3 linked regions of the Arabidopsis thaliana genome follow. The protein of the gene in region 3 interacts with the protein of the main gene of each other region in a pairwise test. Each region holds a gene or a part of one and is shown on either strand. Other genes may lie near its edges.

Region 1 (5,814 bases), on a different chromosome or scaffold from region 3:
TTTTTTAACGTTGGGGCCGAGGACGGTGGTTCATGAACTCGATTCTGGTCATGCCCACTTTTGTAGAATCCATTAAATATCTAAAGTCTATATGGCTTAAAGGTGAGAACTTGATTCTCATTAGTCATTACCAAGTAGAATCTATAATCAAAATCCACTGCTTTTACTTTACAAAAGGAAAAAGGTAAAGATAAAAAAGTTCTCTCAAACTTTGAATCCTCGTATACCCCTTATTAATGGACCATTGCCTACGGTTTATGATTCGATTTCGGATAGTCGTAAAATAGAAGCAATCTAAGTTTTTTGGATGTATATTTTGGTGTCAACTTGGTGTTTGGTTATAAAATATTTGGGTGAAGAAAAATAGAAGTAAAATTAAAATAATCCACATTAGAATTTCAGTTTAATCTAGTGATTTGGTTTTGGTATGAATCTGCAAGAGTAGCATTTCTTTTTGCAATTGCAACACAATAACACCATTCCTCACAAATCACAATTGCACAAACCCATTATCGAAGAGCTCATCAATTTTGGGCTAATTGCTAAAGCAGAAAAAAATAATCGCAAAAGATAACCATGCAACTGCCAATTTTCTTCTTTTCATGGGTAAACCAAATCAGACACATTGAAAAAAACGATATCCTGGTTTAGAAACAGACCAGGGACAATACTCATCAAAGAGACCAAAGAGGTTATAAAACAGTGTTTGGAGATCTTTCAAACACACTTCTTATTCGGACAAAGCCCTGAAAGGCTTTAACTGATCTCACACCTTATAGATGAAAATTTTGCTCCAGAAGGGTTTAAGAGAGGCATGAGTACGCCAAGTCCTTCTCTTCCTTGAGCTCCTCTGCAGTCAAATCCATCTTCTTCCTTGATACTTCATCAATCGGAAGGCCTAACCAAACAAAATACACATTAGGGTCTGCAGAATCTAGGATTTCATAATTGATGAGCATTTGAGTTTGTAAGTGCGTCATATTTACCTTGGACAATACTCCAGTCTCCATTGCGACAAGTTACAGGGAAGGAGTAGATAAGTCCTGATGGAACGCTGTAAGAGCCATCGGAGTATACTCCCATGGAAACGAACGTACCCTGACAATTTGAATCAAAGAAAGAACTCATATTAGATTAACTGTTACAAAAAAACAGCACTGCAAATAACGGGGAAGAGTTTTATTATGAACCTCTGGAGTTCCAAGGACCCAGTCACGGATGTGGTCACAAGCAGAGCTAGCAGCAGAGAGCGCACTAGACAACTTCCTCGCCTTGATGATTGCAGCTCCACGTTGTTGAACTGTAGAGATAAATTCTCCGTCCAACCTACAGAATGAGCAATATATTTAAGTGAAACTAGATTTTGCTTCCAGAGAAGAGAAAGGGTCTTAAGTTCTATGGCATGTTATACATACCATGCATCGTCCTTGACGAGCTCACGGACAGGCTTCTCTCCAGACGAGGTCTGCACTTTAGCATGGTTGACATCTGGGTACTGTGAGGATGAGTGGTTTCCCCAGATGATCACGTTCTTAACATCAGACACTGGCACGCTCAACCTCTCAGAGATCTGTCCCAAAGCCCTGTTGTGGTCAAGCCTTGTCAAACAAGAGATGTTCTTTTCAGGGATTGATGGTGCAAATTCCTTGAGGATCAATGCGTTGGTGTTTGCCGGGTTGGCCACAACAAGAACCTGAAAAAAAAAAGACAAAACGAGAGCGAATGTGTGAGCAAGAGAGTCGTAAACTAGAACCCAATAGAGAACACAAAGCATCTGTTACACTCCAATGAACAGAGAAGATTGGATGCAGTGGCTTCATTTAACTTAAAAAGCAAACAGATCGTATCACCTTGCAGTTAGGAGCGGCATGCTTCTCCAAGGCAGCAGCCTGAGACTTGTAGATGGAAACATTCTTGGACATCACATCCTTCCTCTCCATACCTTCTTTCCTCGGGAAACCACCAACCATAACAGCAACATTGACTCCAGTACATCCCTCAACGGCATCAGTTGTAGCAACAACACCTGATAATAATACACATCAAATATTCATCTTCTCCTTTCCCACTTATACAAAACAACTTATGACACGGAATGCAAATATCCACAGCAAAACAAAACCCTTAACTACCTTTAAGAAGAGGGAAAGCAGCATCGATCAACTCCATCTTAACACCGTTCAAAGCTTCAGCAGCTGGAGGAATATCCAACATGTGGAGGATAACAGGTTGGTCAGCACCAAGCATGATACCCCTTGCAATCATAGGTACAAGAGCATATCCGATTTGTCCTGCATAATCACAATCAATAGTTACTTTCAGTAGCTGAGGAGATCTAAAGTCACAACTTAAACTCTATCCAACTATATAAACAACGGTTTCTAAATCAGAGTTCGATCCATGAAATAACTTTTACTAAAATTAGATATGCGACCAACTCAATCAATCGTTGGTCAGCGTTGAATCCAACGGAACAAGAGTTGACCTATATTTCATTGATCTATGGAACAACCAGATACTATGCAGAGATCTGACTAGATTCAGCAAGCGATTCACTAGCCAGAGATCTAGAAGTTACACGATCTAATCGGATATAGATGAAAGTTATACCTGCAGCTCCAGTAACGAGCACACGAACTGGTTCTTTCGCCATCGGATCTAGATCGGAGATTATCGCCGGAAAACGGATCGAATTTGGGATATTCGACTTTTGAGAGAGCGTAGAGTCAGCTTTTGTCTGACCGTGAAGCTCACTCTTGCGTATTTATCGAAGATATCGAAGGATGTACCGCCACGTCATCTAATATAATCATATTATCTCGAAGAAATAAATCGAAATCTGAGATTAGACCTATCATATTAGGAAAACAAGATATTATTCAATATATATTTTTGACTCTAATGGGCCTCTTACATTAGGCCCAAATCGTTTAGCCCAGAGTATTCAAATACGTGAATCAAAACAGTAGATAATGGTGGCGATAAGGCGAGAAGAACCACGTCCACGACAACCTCCGGTATGGCGTCATCTTACGTCACCTACTCAACGGTCACTCCGGTGGTCAGCAGCAGTAACATTCGAGGAGTCTTTCGTTTGGCATTCACGCGCCGCCGTGTTACTCTATCGCCGAATGCTCGGAGGAGAATATTGAGAGTTTCGGCGAAAGCGTCGACGAAGAATGCTATGGAGTATAGGAAATTAGGAGATTCCGATCTCAACATCAGCGAAGTTACTATGGGCACTGTAAGAACAATCTCTCTTTATCTCCTGCAATTGTAGTCCATTGTTCAATTTTGAAGTTTTGATGAAATTTGGAATTTCAGATGACATTTGGGGAGCAAAATACTGAGAAAGAATCTCATGAGATGCTGAGTTATGCAATTGAAGAGGGCATCAATTGCATTGACACTGCTGAAGCTGTGAGTTTTTATCTTCATTGTTCATCTTTCTCTTCTTGCCTGGTGAATTTGATTGCAAGTGTTTATGTGAATGTTTTATACTTTATATATAATTCTGGTGAATTTAGCACTGTTGTGTTTAGCTTTCTGGAATCTGCTTAGTCTGTGGTAAATTTTCAAGTATCATTGTTTATTTCCAGTATCCCATACCGATGAAGAAGGAGACGCAAGGTAAAACGGATCTTTATATCAGTAGCTGGTTGAAGTCTCAGCAACGTGACAAGGTATCAACCATTTATCATACTTTGGATGCATATTGGTCACGAATGTATATGATATCAGCAAAACCTAATCGAAGTTATAAAAATTGATATTGATGTTCATTGTTTCTGTATACAGATAGTTTTGGCAACTAAAGTATGTGGGTACTCAGAAAGGTCAGCTTACATAAGGGACAGTGGTGAGATTCTGCGTGTAGATGCTGCTAATATCAAAGAAAGTGTTGAGAAAAGTCTTAAGCGCCTTGGAACTGATTACATTGACTTGCTTCAAATACACTGGTAACATCGCCTTATTTTTGCTTTATGTCTTAACTCATATTCTACATTGTTTGAGCAAGTGTCTTTCTATTTCATGCGCAAAATATTTCGTTTTTCATCATCAAATGTCAGAAAATCATGACACTGATCTTTTTTTCAGTCCAGGCCAGATCGATACGTACCACTCTTCGGTGATTTTTACTATGAAACGTCGAAATGGAGACCTAGTGTGCCATTCGCTGAGCAACTAAGAGCCTTTCAGGATCTCATAGTTGAAGGAAAGGTAGTGCTACTCCTTAAAAATCAGATGTTATATTGAGTTATATAACCTCAAACACAGAGTTTTGAAGTGTTCCTCGAATTCTGCAACAGGTTCGCTATATCGGTGTCTCGAATGAAACTTCATACGGAGTGACGGAGTTTGTTAACACAGCAAAACTCGAAGGACTACCAAAGATTGTGAGCATCCAGAATGGTTACAGCTTGCTAGTTAGATGTCGGTATGAAGGTAAATCTTTCTAGAATACCTTGAGAGCAAGTGTGTCGGAGGAGCATGTTCTAAACTCTTTTGTTTTGGGTTAAAACCACAGTTGATCTGGTAGAAGTATGCCACCCAAAAAATTGCAATGTTGGCTTGCTTGCTTATTCCCCTCTTGGAGGCGGCTCGTTGTCTGGGAAATACTTGGCTACAGACCAAGAAGCTACAAAAAATGCAAGGCTGAATCTTTTCCCAGGATATATGGAACGTTACAAGGGATCACTAGCCAAGGTTTCTTCTTGATCCAACTATGCTTACTTCTTCTTATGTCGTAAAACAATTTAAGAAACAGTATTAGCTCGAATCTAGTTGTAAAGCCATATTCGTAAAAGTGTTTTGAGGTCAATTTTATCTTTGTTCTGATTTCAGGAAGCAACCATACAATACGTTGAGGTGGCGAAGAAGTACGGTTTAACTCCGGTTGAGTTAGCACTCGGGTTTGTACGTGACAGGCCCTTTGTGACGAGCACGATCATCGGGGCCACATCGGTAAAACAACTTAAAGAAGACATTGATGCTTTTCTGATGACGGAGCGGCCGTTTTCGCAGGAAGTTATGGCAGACATTGACGCCGTTTTCAAGAGGTTCAAAGACCCTTCTTTCGTTTGAAAGAAAAGAAGGTTTCTCATGAGTTTGTGAGCTCACGGTGAAAGTCCATAAGTTATATATAGCTTGATTTGCTTTCTTACAGTTGTTTTGATATGACGGATATACAGAACTCCCATGTAATGACGTACCACAGTTGCGCATAACGTTTGAACGCTTTTATTGATCTATATAATGGACCTTAAATCAAATCCAGTTTATCCTTTAAGCCTCATATCGGACATGTAAAAATTAAAAAACAAATTGATGGGTTTGGGCCGGTCTCGACAGCCCAGCAAGAATAAAACTTTTTTAATTGTAACACGTGTTGCGGACAAGGTAACTGTGATTTAACCGTTGAGATGTCAGAACGGGAACGGTAACTTAGAAACGGTAACTTACTTCAAAATTCAGAAACTATCCGTTACTACTTTTTCTCAACGGTAAAGAAAGCTTCTCTATATATAGTAATACACACAGCCTCCGATATCGTTAAAAACATAATCCAAAAGATGTAAATGGAAACTTTAAAAACTCTCGTCTCTTCTTGTCCCTCTCTCTTTCTTCATCAGATCCGGCGGCAAAACGCAGCAAATCATAAGGTGAGAGTTACTTTTATACACGTTTTTATTTTAACTAGATGAGTACCCGCACGTAGTGCGGGTTTACGTATTACTATTTACAAATTATTTTATATAATATCTGTTTATATAAAGTAAAGTTAAATGCATCGGTATTGAAACATAAATATGA
Region 2 (5,814 bases), 8.8 Mb from region 3:
TCTAAAATACTGGGTGAAGTAAAGATGTATCTATACCTTCCTCGAAGAAAATACATAAGCACGTAGCCAAGAGATTCCAGATCGTCCCTCCTACTTTGCTCTGTTTAAAGGATCTCAATTTAGTTTGATAAACGTACAAATAGTCAAGTTTTTAATGTGAAAATGAAAGAAGAAAAAGCAAACAATACTCACCAATTCCAAGATGAGTGTTAACACTTGCATATCGAGCTGTTCCAGTAAGATTCTTGTTTTCCCTAATAAGTAACTCTCGATTAGTAAATATATTACCAATATTTCACTAACAATTCGAAAATTTTAAATTGAGCAAAACTTTTTAACAAGAAAAAGAAAAATGTGTACCTGTAGGGAATGTGTCTATGAGTTTGGAGATCTCTATACTTTTTTGCAAGTCCGTAGTCAATGATGTACACCTAGACAAGAACAAAGATGACATATCAGAGAAAAGATGCAAACATATAGAAGGATTCACAAGGTAGTAGCAAAAGAAATTCCAAAACCAAACAAGTATATTATCATTCCACACAATAAAGTTGCATACCATAACTACTCACCTGGTTCGCTTTGCGTCCAAGACCCATCAAAAAGTTATCAGGCTTTATGTCACGATGAAGAAATCCCCGGACATGCATATACTCAACTCTATTGATCTGAAGAAATCAAATCATGAGCAACACAATAACTCAAACATATCAGAGAAAAGGTAGATAATATATCCGTACCATTTGATCTGCGAGCATTAGAACCGTCTTTAGATTGAACCTCCGACTACAATAATTAAATAAATCCTCCATACTCGGACCCAAAAGGTCAATCACCATACAGTTGTATTCACCCTCAACCCCATACCATTTTAGATGTGGAATACCAGCTTCAAGAACACAAATGTAAAAGTTAATAAAAGAACGATAACTGAAGGTTTAAACCGACAAAAGGCAAAACTTACTTCCTCCTTGAAGAAGCATATAAAGCTTTGATTCATAATGAAGTTGAGGATGTCTAGCTCTCGCAGGTTCCTACAAAGAAAAAAACCAAAGTTTTAGTAATCAAGAATGAGTTTTTACACATTACTGAATTGAAAAGGGTAATAGTCAAATGTTGAGACTTACAAGCTTCACAGCAACTTCTTCTCCAGTTTGTACATTAACCCCTGAAAACAAAAGAGTTATTACAAAAGCAAAACTTGGAATTACCAAAAGACAGAAGAAACTTCAAATCACATTACCTAGAAAAAGTTCACCAAATGATCCACTTCCAAGTTTACGTCCAAGCTTATACTTACCACCAACCACACGATCCATCGTTACCAAATCAAAAAGCTTCCTCCTTTCTTCGATCTCTTAAAACAACTAATCCCCAACAAAACCAAAAGTTGACCCAGATCTCAATTCAATGTTCCCTACCTCTCTAAAAGCCTGATCGAAATTCAAAGATCCCCAATTCAAATTCTAGTAAGAACCCTTCAAATATCTGAATCAAATCAAAATTGTAATCGATTCACCAAGTAATCTTATGCTTCTGCTTTAACACAAACTAAAAATCACCCATTGACCAACAACATCTTCATAGAAAGTCTGACACTTTTTTTCAGACAAAAGCTTTAGATCAGATTGAAGAAACACAAAATGAAACGGAAGAGACAAAACCAAAACAAAAAAAAAAGGTGAAAAGAACAAAGAGAGACGAAATCAGACCCAAAAAAAAAAAAAATGGGTCGTTGGATTCGATTATCGTTTGATCTATAAAGACTGCTACGAGACAGCTTGATTCACTATTTTTTTCTCTTTTTTTTTTGCTGAATTTTTTTTTTCTTAAGGAAGATAATGGATTAGAGACGAAACCAAACGTTAAAAGAAAAATGAAAAAGAAATCTGACGAGACGGCCTTGAAGAAGAGATTTTGAGATTTTCTTTCCTTATCCCTAATTTTTTACAACTTTTTATTTTTTTGCTTAACTAATTTGTTTTCTTTTTCTCCAAATTTGATTTATTCTTCATTAACTGTAAACAGTAACGTCACTATATGAAAAAGATGATAATTAATGACATAAAATTAGTTGGATTTTAATATTTTCTAGCATCTTTATTTTCTTCCGCTCAAGCAATATTGATTATTTTTTGGTAGGCCTCAAGCAATATTGATATTTGATTTGAAACTATTACATAAAAAATATCATAAAAAAACATAATATTCTACCAAAAAATGAGTATTTGATAATATATTTTTAAAAGTAAACAAAACAAAATTTGTCTCGAAACTATCAGATACACCATAAAAAAAAAATTGGTACTATTTATAAAATACTATATAATCACTTGATTGTTAAATTTGCTTTTTAATTTTTATTGGTAATAAGAAAAATTATTACTAACTCGATAAACCCTGATATAAAATATTTTATTATGTAGAATAAAGTAATATAATAGAATCGAATTTCGATTGATATTATATTATCTTCTTTTTTTGTTTAGACCATTTCTTCAATAACAGTGTCAAACATATAATGACATGCATTTTCTACAAAGACAGCTAGAACTTTAGTTTTATATATTCAGACACCACTTACAAAAGAAGAAAATATTAATTAAACATGAAAAAAGTAAACATTGAACATCCCCATTTAATTAGGGCTTTACCAAATTAGTCGGTACGATAAACTCGTCTAAACATTAAATGGGCTTAATTAGTTGGGCTTATTTTAACACTAAATTGGCCCATTATAACTTCCCAAAATGATATTGGTTCGAGATGATTCGATAACGTGGGCATCAATCCATGGATCATCTCAGCTTTCACCATCACCAATAAATAAACACACAGGTCTGCTTTCATACCTTCACGCTCTCTCACTGATCATTCACAATCTCTCTCTTTTTTTCACCGGCGATAATTTTCCGATCTCGATTATAAGATGGCGAAGGAACCAGTTCGTGTTCTTGTTACCGGAGCTGCAGGTAAAATTCTTATTTCTCCGATCTTGTTTCTTCCATCTCTCGTTATTGATTCGTATCGTCAGATCTTTATGTAACACCAATTTTTCATAATCCAAAAATGTAAACGATCATTGAATCATATTTTCGATTCCTATAGTGAGATCTGAAGAGAGAAATTGATTGGATCATTTGGTGAATCCTGTTACATTTTGAGATGTAATTGTCATTTTGGATCAGTTATTTGATTTTATCATGATTTGTTCTGATTTTGTAAGCTTTATTTGGCGATTGATTTGTAATTTTGTGTGTAGATCATGTTTAAGTGTGTTTCTGTTATTGTGCAGGACAAATCGGATATGCTCTTGTTCCTATGATTGCAAGGGGGATAATGCTTGGTGCTGATCAGCCTGTGATCCTCCACATGCTTGACATCCCTTTTGCAGCAGAAGCTTTGAACGGTGTGAAGATGGAATTGGTCGATGCTGCTTTCCCTCTTCTAAAGGGTAAGTTTTTATTCTAGTATATATTTTTACTGTGCTCGTATTGGAATATGGTATGTTGCTTGAGGCTGAAATGTGATGTTGGTGTTTTTTCTGTGGAAGGTGTGGTGGCTACAACTGATGCTGTTGAAGCGTGTACCGGTGTTAATGTTGCTGTCATGGTTGGTGGTTTCCCGAGGAAGGAAGGAATGGAGAGGAAGGATGTTATGTCCAAGAACGTTTCCATTTACAAGTCTCAAGCTTCTGCCTTGGAGAAGCATGCTGCACCAAACTGCAAGGTGATAAGTCTTTTCGAATCGTTCTTATGATCATTATGCAGAAATTAAGCAAGTTAATCTCTTATTTTGTTGTATGAGATATTTCATATTTGCTATCTCTTCGTTTTGTAGGTTCTGGTTGTTGCAAACCCTGCAAACACCAATGCATTGATCCTGAAGGAATTTGCACCATCGATCCCAGAGAAGAACATTACTTGCTTGACCAGGCTTGACCACAACAGGGCATTGGGACAAGTGTCTGAGAGGTTAAGCGTACCAGTGTCTGATGTGAAGAACGTGATTATCTGGGGAAACCACTCATCAACCCAATACCCAGATGTCAACCACGCTACCGTTAAGACTTCCGTTGGAGAGAAGCCAGTGCGTGAGCTAGTCAAGAATGACGAGTGGTAAAAATCTCTAAAACACCCTTTTAATATCTCAATCTAGTTTCGTGAATGTGATGCTCATGTATGTTAGCAACTAATGTTGTAGGTTGAATGGAGAGTTCATCTCTACCGTTCAACAACGTGGTGCTGCCATTATCAAGGCCAGGAAGCTGTCTAGTGCACTTTCTGCAGCTAGCTCAGCTTGTGACCATATCCGTGATTGGGTTGTTGGAACACCTGAGGTTCGTCATTACTACTGTTTTATCTCGAATCAATTGGTTGTTTTGTGTACTAAGTAAAACTAATATGTTCTTCGACTTGATTTCTCAGGGCACATTTGTTTCAATGGGAGTATACTCAGATGGATCCTACAATGTTCCAGCTGGACTTATCTACTCCTTCCCCGTAACCTGCCGTAATGGAGAGTGGACCATTGTTCAAGGTAAATATATTTCTCGTAACCAAAAGTTATACACAATGTTCTTAAGAGAATCCTAGCCTAAAGCTGACCCGTGTAACGGAACCGTAAACTGGATTGTCTACTTCTAATCCTAAGTGTGCAAGGCTGGTTCTCGCTGCGATGATTAGCTCATAGAACTAGATATTGGTCTAATATGTGTTGTTGTTATTCACAGGTTTACCGATTGATGACGCATCGAGGAAGAAGATGGATTTGACAGCAGAGGAGTTGAAGGAAGAGAAGGACCTCGCTTACTCATGCCTCTCTTAAACCGGTCTTTTCTCAGCTGGTTTAATCAGTGAAAGCTTTGTTTCGAATAAAGAAGTTTTGTTATAAAATGAACTTTTAATAACCTCATGAGCTTGAGGTTTAGTTTTCCTAATGTGCCCATGATGTGTCGGTACTGATTTGCTGACCAGATATAAACAATCATTTTGATAATTGACCTCTTTTGGTTTCCTTTCGTAACGGGAGAGTGGAGAGTGGAGAGACAACAACAACTCGAATTTTTTGGTAGACTTTTTCAGATATGGGCCAAAGCTTTGTTGGGTATTCTTTTGGCCCATATGAAAAAAATACAAAAGATTTCGCAATTGTGAAATAAACAGCTTAAGAATAGTATTATAGAATAAAATCTCGCAATAATATACTCCATGGTTTTTATGCGATTTAGAACAATGGGATAATACTAAATTAATAATTTGAATTAATTTTACGTAATAATTTTACGTAACATTTATTTTTTAATTTACTATTATTATTTAATTATGCTATTTTTACTATTTACCAGTTCATCCAAATATAAAACCTTATTAGCCTATCAAAAAAAGAAAACGTAAAACCCTATTTCATAGGTTTTTATCTAAAACTAAAACCCTATTCTATGAGTTTTTTCTCCAAGACTTGCAGTCACTTTGATTTATCTTGTAATTTTATTTTTAAATATAATTTTTTTTCTATAAAAGAGCAAATATAGCTGCAGAAGATAATGATTTGTTGGGTATTGTTGATAACTCTTTTTTTTTCTTCTAATTCCTGATGAATTATCGACGGCTTAATTCATGTCCTCTTTTTTTTCCTGGACATTGAATGTTAGTGACAAGTCTATATAGGACCTAAATACATTCCAACCTTAACATTTATTATTGGCAATAAATATTGCTATACATATTTTTCTCATGTTATCTACTAATCTGTTTGTTGTTTTACTTTTGATATCAGCTTCTAATAACAATAACATTTTTTTTTTTTTATAAA
Region 3 (5,814 bases):
AAATATTACATCAAACGGTCGAAAAATGTTACCGTTTCACAACGTTCATAAAAAATGTTACCGTTTCACAACGTTCATATTTTCCTACTCTCAACTCTCAAGTCAAATCAATATAGGAAATCGTAATTACGCTCAAGACTCTCAGGTAAAATATTATTTGTTTTTTTCATTTAACAGTTGTATTATATCTCTGTAATCTCATGAAAATTTGAATCGTCATCACGCATTTACTTGTCTTCCATTGATTTATGAGTCTTCTATAATGATCACTCTTGATGATTTAGGTTGTCTAAACTCCGATTTTTTTTTTTTTTTTTTTTTGTTTCAGCTACTTCTCCGATTTTTAATACGAGTTTCAATTATACATAATACTACTACTAGAAAGCAAATTCTTGAAAACAACTGAACTGAAACCAAACCGTTAACTTGACCACTCATAAGCGAAATCATCTAAAACGCTACACTAAGCGTTTCATCAGTCTCGAGGAACTCACAAACCAAGCTAAGATATTGTTACTTTGTTTGAAATATAAAATTTTGAGAAGAAAAGAAGCAAAGATGAGGATAAATTACCAAACAAAAACAGAGTTGATACAGAGCAGCAGATAACACCAAAGCTGTGCACATAATCTGTCATAAAAAAACAAACTTTTCTTTTCGACAAGTTTTACAGCAAAGGAGGTTGAACTCAGATTTTCGGTTACGGTTGCAGGTACATTACATAACCGTCTTTTCTTCCATTAGACCTTCAGGCCTCATCCATCTGCTCCTGAATAAAGCAGTCGATCATTGAGTTTTGGGGTGTTATTATCCGAATAATCTTATAAGACTATCAATATGCGAGTTTCTGATGATGCAATTGAATATGAAAGTATAGAATTGGGCAAACCTGCATATCGGAGGTCCAAAGGGTTAGATTGTCCCTTAGCAACTGCATGATGAGAGTACTGTCCTTGTATGACTCCTCTCCCAATGTGTCCAGCTCAGCAATGGCTTCTTCAAAAGCCTAGAGGTGATGAATCCAACAAGAACAAGTTAGAAATGCGATGATAAGATGAGCTTTAATAGTCTTATAGAATCTTGTATATGTGATGCATGAGATGTTCCGGATTCAATATGCACCAAAACCCCGATCAGATTCTACACAATCTCGTATGCATAATGTATGAGATATTGTGGTTCTAAAGTCTTGTCATTTTAAGAGATTCTACTGACAAAAGGAATAATTTGGTTAATGTGAAGCGTTAGTCAAAAAAGTTATATCAAAAGAGGACTTTGCAGAATGTCTTTTTCTTTAGAATCTCTGTTTATTAAAAAGAAGTGGGTCCGTTCAGAAAGAAGAAAGAGTTACTTTTTATAAACAACTTGTCTATTTCTGGTAAAGGTTTCAAAATTCCTTCAAATCAACCCAACACAATGAATACAAGATGGGGCCAATAGGAATAGTAAAACAAGTGGTCAAGTTAGTAACTCAAAATGCAAATTACACTCTCCCTAACCAAACTTAAGACAATGATGATCAGACAGAGAAACTCTACTTGAAACAAACATGCAGTATAGTGGATGAAGAAAGAGTACCTGTTTCGCCATGCTACAAGCTTTCTCTGAAGAGTTGAGAATCTCGTAGTAAAACACTGAGAAGTTAAGAGCCAAACCAAGCCTGATCGGATGTGTAGGTGCTAGATCAGCAACTGCAACGTCCTTCAATACAAAAACCCACGAATGAGCAAAAATACATATTTTCAGAACAATTATATATTACTAAGACATATTAGGGAAGCAATTGATCTTAAGCCCAAATAGTAAAAGTTGACTACTTCTAACGATAGGATCAATACAATAGCTAGATTCGAGACCAATTTACTTATTATGAGACAACTGATTACAGATTAGCTAATTGAAGTAATCTCAGAAATAGGGTTTTAGCTCCACAACAGGATCGATTCAAGGATTTAGGGAATCAAAGATATACCTGAGCAGCTTTGTAAGCGATCATAGTATCTTCAGCAGCAGTTTTCCTCTCATCACCAGATTTAAACTCAGCCAAATAACGATGATAATCTCCTTTCATCTTCAGGTAAAAAACCTTAGACTCACTGGCAGTAGCTGAAGGAATTAGATGCGAATCAAGTAACCTGAGAATCCCAGAACAGATCGAAGAAAGCTCAGTCTCAACTTTAGATCTGTAATCCTTAACAAGCGACACGTGTTCTTCGTTCTTCCTGCTCTCTTCCTTTTGCTCAATCGAAGACACGATTCTCCATGCCGCACGAAGAGATCCAATCACGTTCTTATACGCGACCGAGAGAAGATTCCTCTCTTCTACGGTCAGCTCACCGGCCGGTGTAGCTCCACTTACGAGCTGTTCCATGAATTGAACCATCTCTTCGTAACGCTCGGCTTGCTCGGCGAGCTTCGCCATGTAGACATATTGATCTCTGCTTAAGGTCGTCGCCATTAGAGAAGAAGATCTCGCTTTTTTTTTCGATTTCACCGGAAAATTTTGAAATCGGAGGAAATTTCTGGAAGAAAAAAAGAAATTGAGAAGAAGAATAAAAAGCTTCAAAGCCGAGTCATAATGAGCTGTAAAAGGAAATTCTCTTCACTCGCGCGTGATTAACACACTCTGATAAACGACGTCGTTAGTTGAAATAAGGATTAACAGCGTGAAACCCACGTTGAGTGTACGAGGCGCGTGGCTAGGTTTCGGTTTTTTTGATAAGAGCGAGTGAATGGACGATAATAATTTAGTGCGTCAGCTTCCCCAACTAGTTGACACTGTTCAAGGTCAAATGTTAGAATACGGGCTTTTGATTAGGCTTTAGATGGGCTTTTTGAAGCCTGTTAAAGCTATTACCTTGCTGGCTAAGCATATGCGTTTTCGGCGTGACCTGGACACAACTAATGTGGTCGGAGAAAAGGCATATGAAGACAAGAAAAAGTTGTCCAAATTCTTTCTTTCGTTGATATTAATTTTTCTTTTGGTCAATACTCATATTCTTTAATTTCTTATATTGTTGATTAAAGAAAATTAATTATTTTCATTTTCCAATACTTTAAATTTAAAAGACCGGATCAAATTAATTGAATTCGTTTTTTGTGGGTTTTTATTTGTTGATTCATTGTAAATTTCAATAAATGAGAATTGATGAAAATTATGCTATATTAATTTGATTAGTCAAATGAGATAATTGAGATCCGGCAGGACATTTGTTTGGCATGAAAAACAAAATAATAAAGAGTTGGTTAATCAAATGCGACCAAATCATTAGATCGAAAAATCTGAAGAAATCGATTACTCATGTTTTTAATACTGGAAAGTTGTTTAGATTATTTGGGTTAACAAAAATCTGTATACACTCGTAGTTCTTACTAATTTATAACAAAACCTAAATTCTCCAAAACTAATGTAATGCAAATTGATTCTCTGATAGACGCACCGTCACGCGCGCATAACGTTGCCGTTATGGGAGAAAGAAAGGGCGTATCTTCACTTGCCACGTCAGTTTTACGCTAAGCGTAATAAAAGTCGCCGTCACCGTTAATTGACGTCTCCATCCAACGCCGCTCTTCTTCTCCGCTCTCACCGTATATATTTTTTTCCTATGGTGGCGCAATTTTTACTAAACTTACATAAAAAAAAAGGAAGATTAAATAAAAAAAGAGAAAGAAATATAAGAGCTTCCTCAATCGATCTTCCATTTTTCTTCTTCTTCATTGTGAAATTTGAGTCCAATGACTGTCACTGGTCGAATTTTCCACCTGTAGTCAATTTGAAGAAATTTAACCAGTTTGTTCTACTGGAAAAATTTCTGGTTTCACACTTGTGTTGACTCTTTCACTGGAAAAAAAGAAACGAAAAAACTCCGAAGAGTCTTCTCTGGGCAGTGTAAGTAAGCTAATGCATTAACATTTTTTGGCATTGAGAAGTAGATCGATTCTTCAATTTTGTGAGTTTCCGTTCACGATTTCGCTTTCTTTCATGTGAATTTCGTGAAAGAGAGAAAAAGTAATTCTCATCTTTCTTGCTACATTCTCTTTTTGCCGTTTTCACTAGAATTTCGCTTTTGTAGCCTTCGATTCGTTTGATTTCGTTTGATTTCGTTTCAGTTGCTATGTTTTAGGGATTTCATTATAGAACTGAGATTTGATTGTTGAATGTGAATGAAAATTTTGATAATTTTTCTTCTGAAATTTAGGTTAAAAGGTAAGGAGCAATGTTCAGGGAAGCTGGCTTAAGAAACATAGGAGAGGTACGAACAAAAACTTTATCTGCATTTTTCGATGTTGTTTGATTTTGCTGTAACTAATGCTTGTTTTGTAGGATGTTGATTCGAGGTGGACGATTGGTAATCGGAAATTGGATGCTAAGTCTGTTCCCAATGCCAATTCTGGTCATGGTTTTGGATTCAGGAGTGCTCCTCCATTGTCTTCATCAATTAAACCCGTGAGAGGTAATAACAATGGTGGTTCAAGTTCAGACATGGACATTGCTTCTGATTCAGATGAAGAGATATTCGAGAGGCAACACTCTCCTCAAGATTATAGAATTCATCTTGGTTTGCCTCACGTCGCAGCTCAAAATGGACTTGGACGTAATGGTGCTAAGGTCTTTGGTGCTGCTGATGATTTATCTGACTCAGCTACTAGCACTGAAGTTTCATATGTACTTACTTTTTACCCCCTTGTCTCTCGTTTTCCTTTACCGTTTCTAAATATGTTCTGATTTGATTATCATGTTTACAGGAAGCAGAAGCTTGTGGTGTGCGGAACAATATATCTTCACATAATGAATTTGAAAGACGAAATGTTGAGGCTGGAACTTCAGGAAGGACTCTGAACGGGACAAGCACTTCAACAAGTTCATTGCCTCGTTTCCCCACCTTTCATGCGAGGTTTGAGTTACATTGCTGACTTAGATTTTGCTTTCTTGTTTTTTTAATCCTCTGTGATTATTCATTCCATCATTTTTTGTGTGGTTTGAATGCAGTGAGCAAGGTCCATGGTCTGCGATGATTGCCTATGAAGCCTGTGTACGGTTATGTCTTCATTCATGGTCAACGGATAGTGTCAGCGAGGCTTCTTACTTCCTCAACAATGAATGCACCATAATGCGGAATGCATTTAGTTTGCAGAGGTTTTTCCTTCATTCTGAAGAAGAGTTACTGGGAAAGGGACCTTCTGAGTTGGTTACTGAGACGTCTGTTCCAAAATCGAAGAAGACTATTGGAAAAATTAAACTCCAAGGTATACACATTTGTATCTTTTTTCCCTTCCACTGTATTTTACCACTTGTAGAAATCGCAGTAGTGCTTACAAGAGTAAGATTTTGTACAGTTCGTAGAATTAAAATGGGATTAGATCCACCACCTGGCTGTAACATTGCAACACTGACGGTCTCCAAGGAAAAGCTCGAAGTTGTTCGTCACCATATTGTGGAACTGAATTCGACTTTATCTTCTGGATGGAAAGCAGCGAGGAAAGTTCATGTCACTCCCCAAGTTCCTCTAAATGGTTCACTTTCGCGTCAAAGTTTGGCTTACATGCAGGCTGCTGCTCGCTACCTTAAGCAGGTCTCAAAAGCCGTTAAAAAGGAAATTGTTACATCTCACACTGGACCACAAACTTATGAAGCAGTACAAGGTATTTCATTGTACTTTGGACATAACTCTTTGTCTTATTTTCGTCATCAGTATTTGATTCTTTCTGTTTTCAGAAACATATTCATGTTCATTGAGGTTAAAGAGCTCTCCTGAAGATGATCAAATTAAGACGCAACCTGGATCTGGCGAAACGTTTATTTTGTATGTACCC

Evidence for each region.
Region 1: the proteins of GRF8 (region 3) and c-NAD-MDH1 interact in a two-hybrid assay, tested with the Arabidopsis thaliana proteins (one study listed by BioGRID).
Region 2: the proteins of GRF8 (region 3) and c-NAD-MDH2 interact in a two-hybrid assay, tested with the Arabidopsis thaliana proteins (one study listed by BioGRID).

What each region holds. Positions count from the first base shown.
Region 1 is NC_003070.9:1,188,615-1,194,428, forward strand, and holds c-NAD-MDH1 (Lactate/malate dehydrogenase family protein), read right to left. Parts: upstream 2,845-5,814; 5' UTR 2,654-2,844; coding exon 2,611-2,653; intron 2,292-2,610; coding exon 2,133-2,291; intron 2,027-2,132; coding exon 1,851-2,026; intron 1,694-1,850; coding exon 1,416-1,693; intron 1,327-1,415; coding exon 1,191-1,326; intron 1,099-1,190; coding exon 987-1,098; intron 899-986; coding exon 804-898; 3' UTR 381-803; downstream 1-380. Other genes in the region: AT1G04420 (NAD(P)-linked oxidoreductase superfamily protein), read left to right, coding at 3,020-3,244, 3,325-3,420, 3,600-3,683, 3,799-3,959, 4,104-4,221, 4,311-4,446, 4,529-4,707, 4,846-5,085. UniProt on the Arabidopsis thaliana protein: Catalyzes a reversible NAD-dependent dehydrogenase reaction involved in central metabolism and redox homeostasis between organellar compartments.
Region 2 is NC_003076.8:17,387,623-17,393,436, forward strand, and holds c-NAD-MDH2 (Lactate/malate dehydrogenase family protein), read left to right. Parts: upstream 1-2,758; 5' UTR 2,759-2,929; coding exon 2,930-2,972; intron 2,973-3,295; coding exon 3,296-3,454; intron 3,455-3,553; coding exon 3,554-3,729; intron 3,730-3,840; coding exon 3,841-4,118; intron 4,119-4,203; coding exon 4,204-4,339; intron 4,340-4,427; coding exon 4,428-4,539; intron 4,540-4,732; coding exon 4,733-4,827; 3' UTR 4,828-5,119; downstream 5,120-5,814. Other genes in the region: ckl8 (casein kinase I-like 8), read right to left, coding at 37-100, 193-254, 361-431, 573-668, 741-889, 965-1,034, 1,128-1,168, 1,244-1,319.
Region 3 is NC_003076.8:26,147,798-26,153,611, forward strand, and holds GRF8 (general regulatory factor 8), read right to left. Parts: upstream 2,680-5,814; 5' UTR 2,459-2,679; coding exon 1,973-2,458; intron 1,702-1,972; coding exon 1,579-1,701; intron 1,007-1,578; coding exon 833-1,006; 3' UTR 770-832; coding exon of another isoform or gene 749-769; 3' UTR 585-748; downstream 1-584. Other genes in the region: AT5G65440 (uncharacterized protein), read left to right, coding at 4,218-4,253, 4,325-4,666, 4,747-4,895, 4,991-5,247, 5,338-5,643, 5,717-5,804. UniProt on the Arabidopsis thaliana protein: Is associated with a DNA binding complex that binds to the G box, a well-characterized cis-acting DNA regulatory element found in plant genes. Involved in the regulation of nutrient metabolism.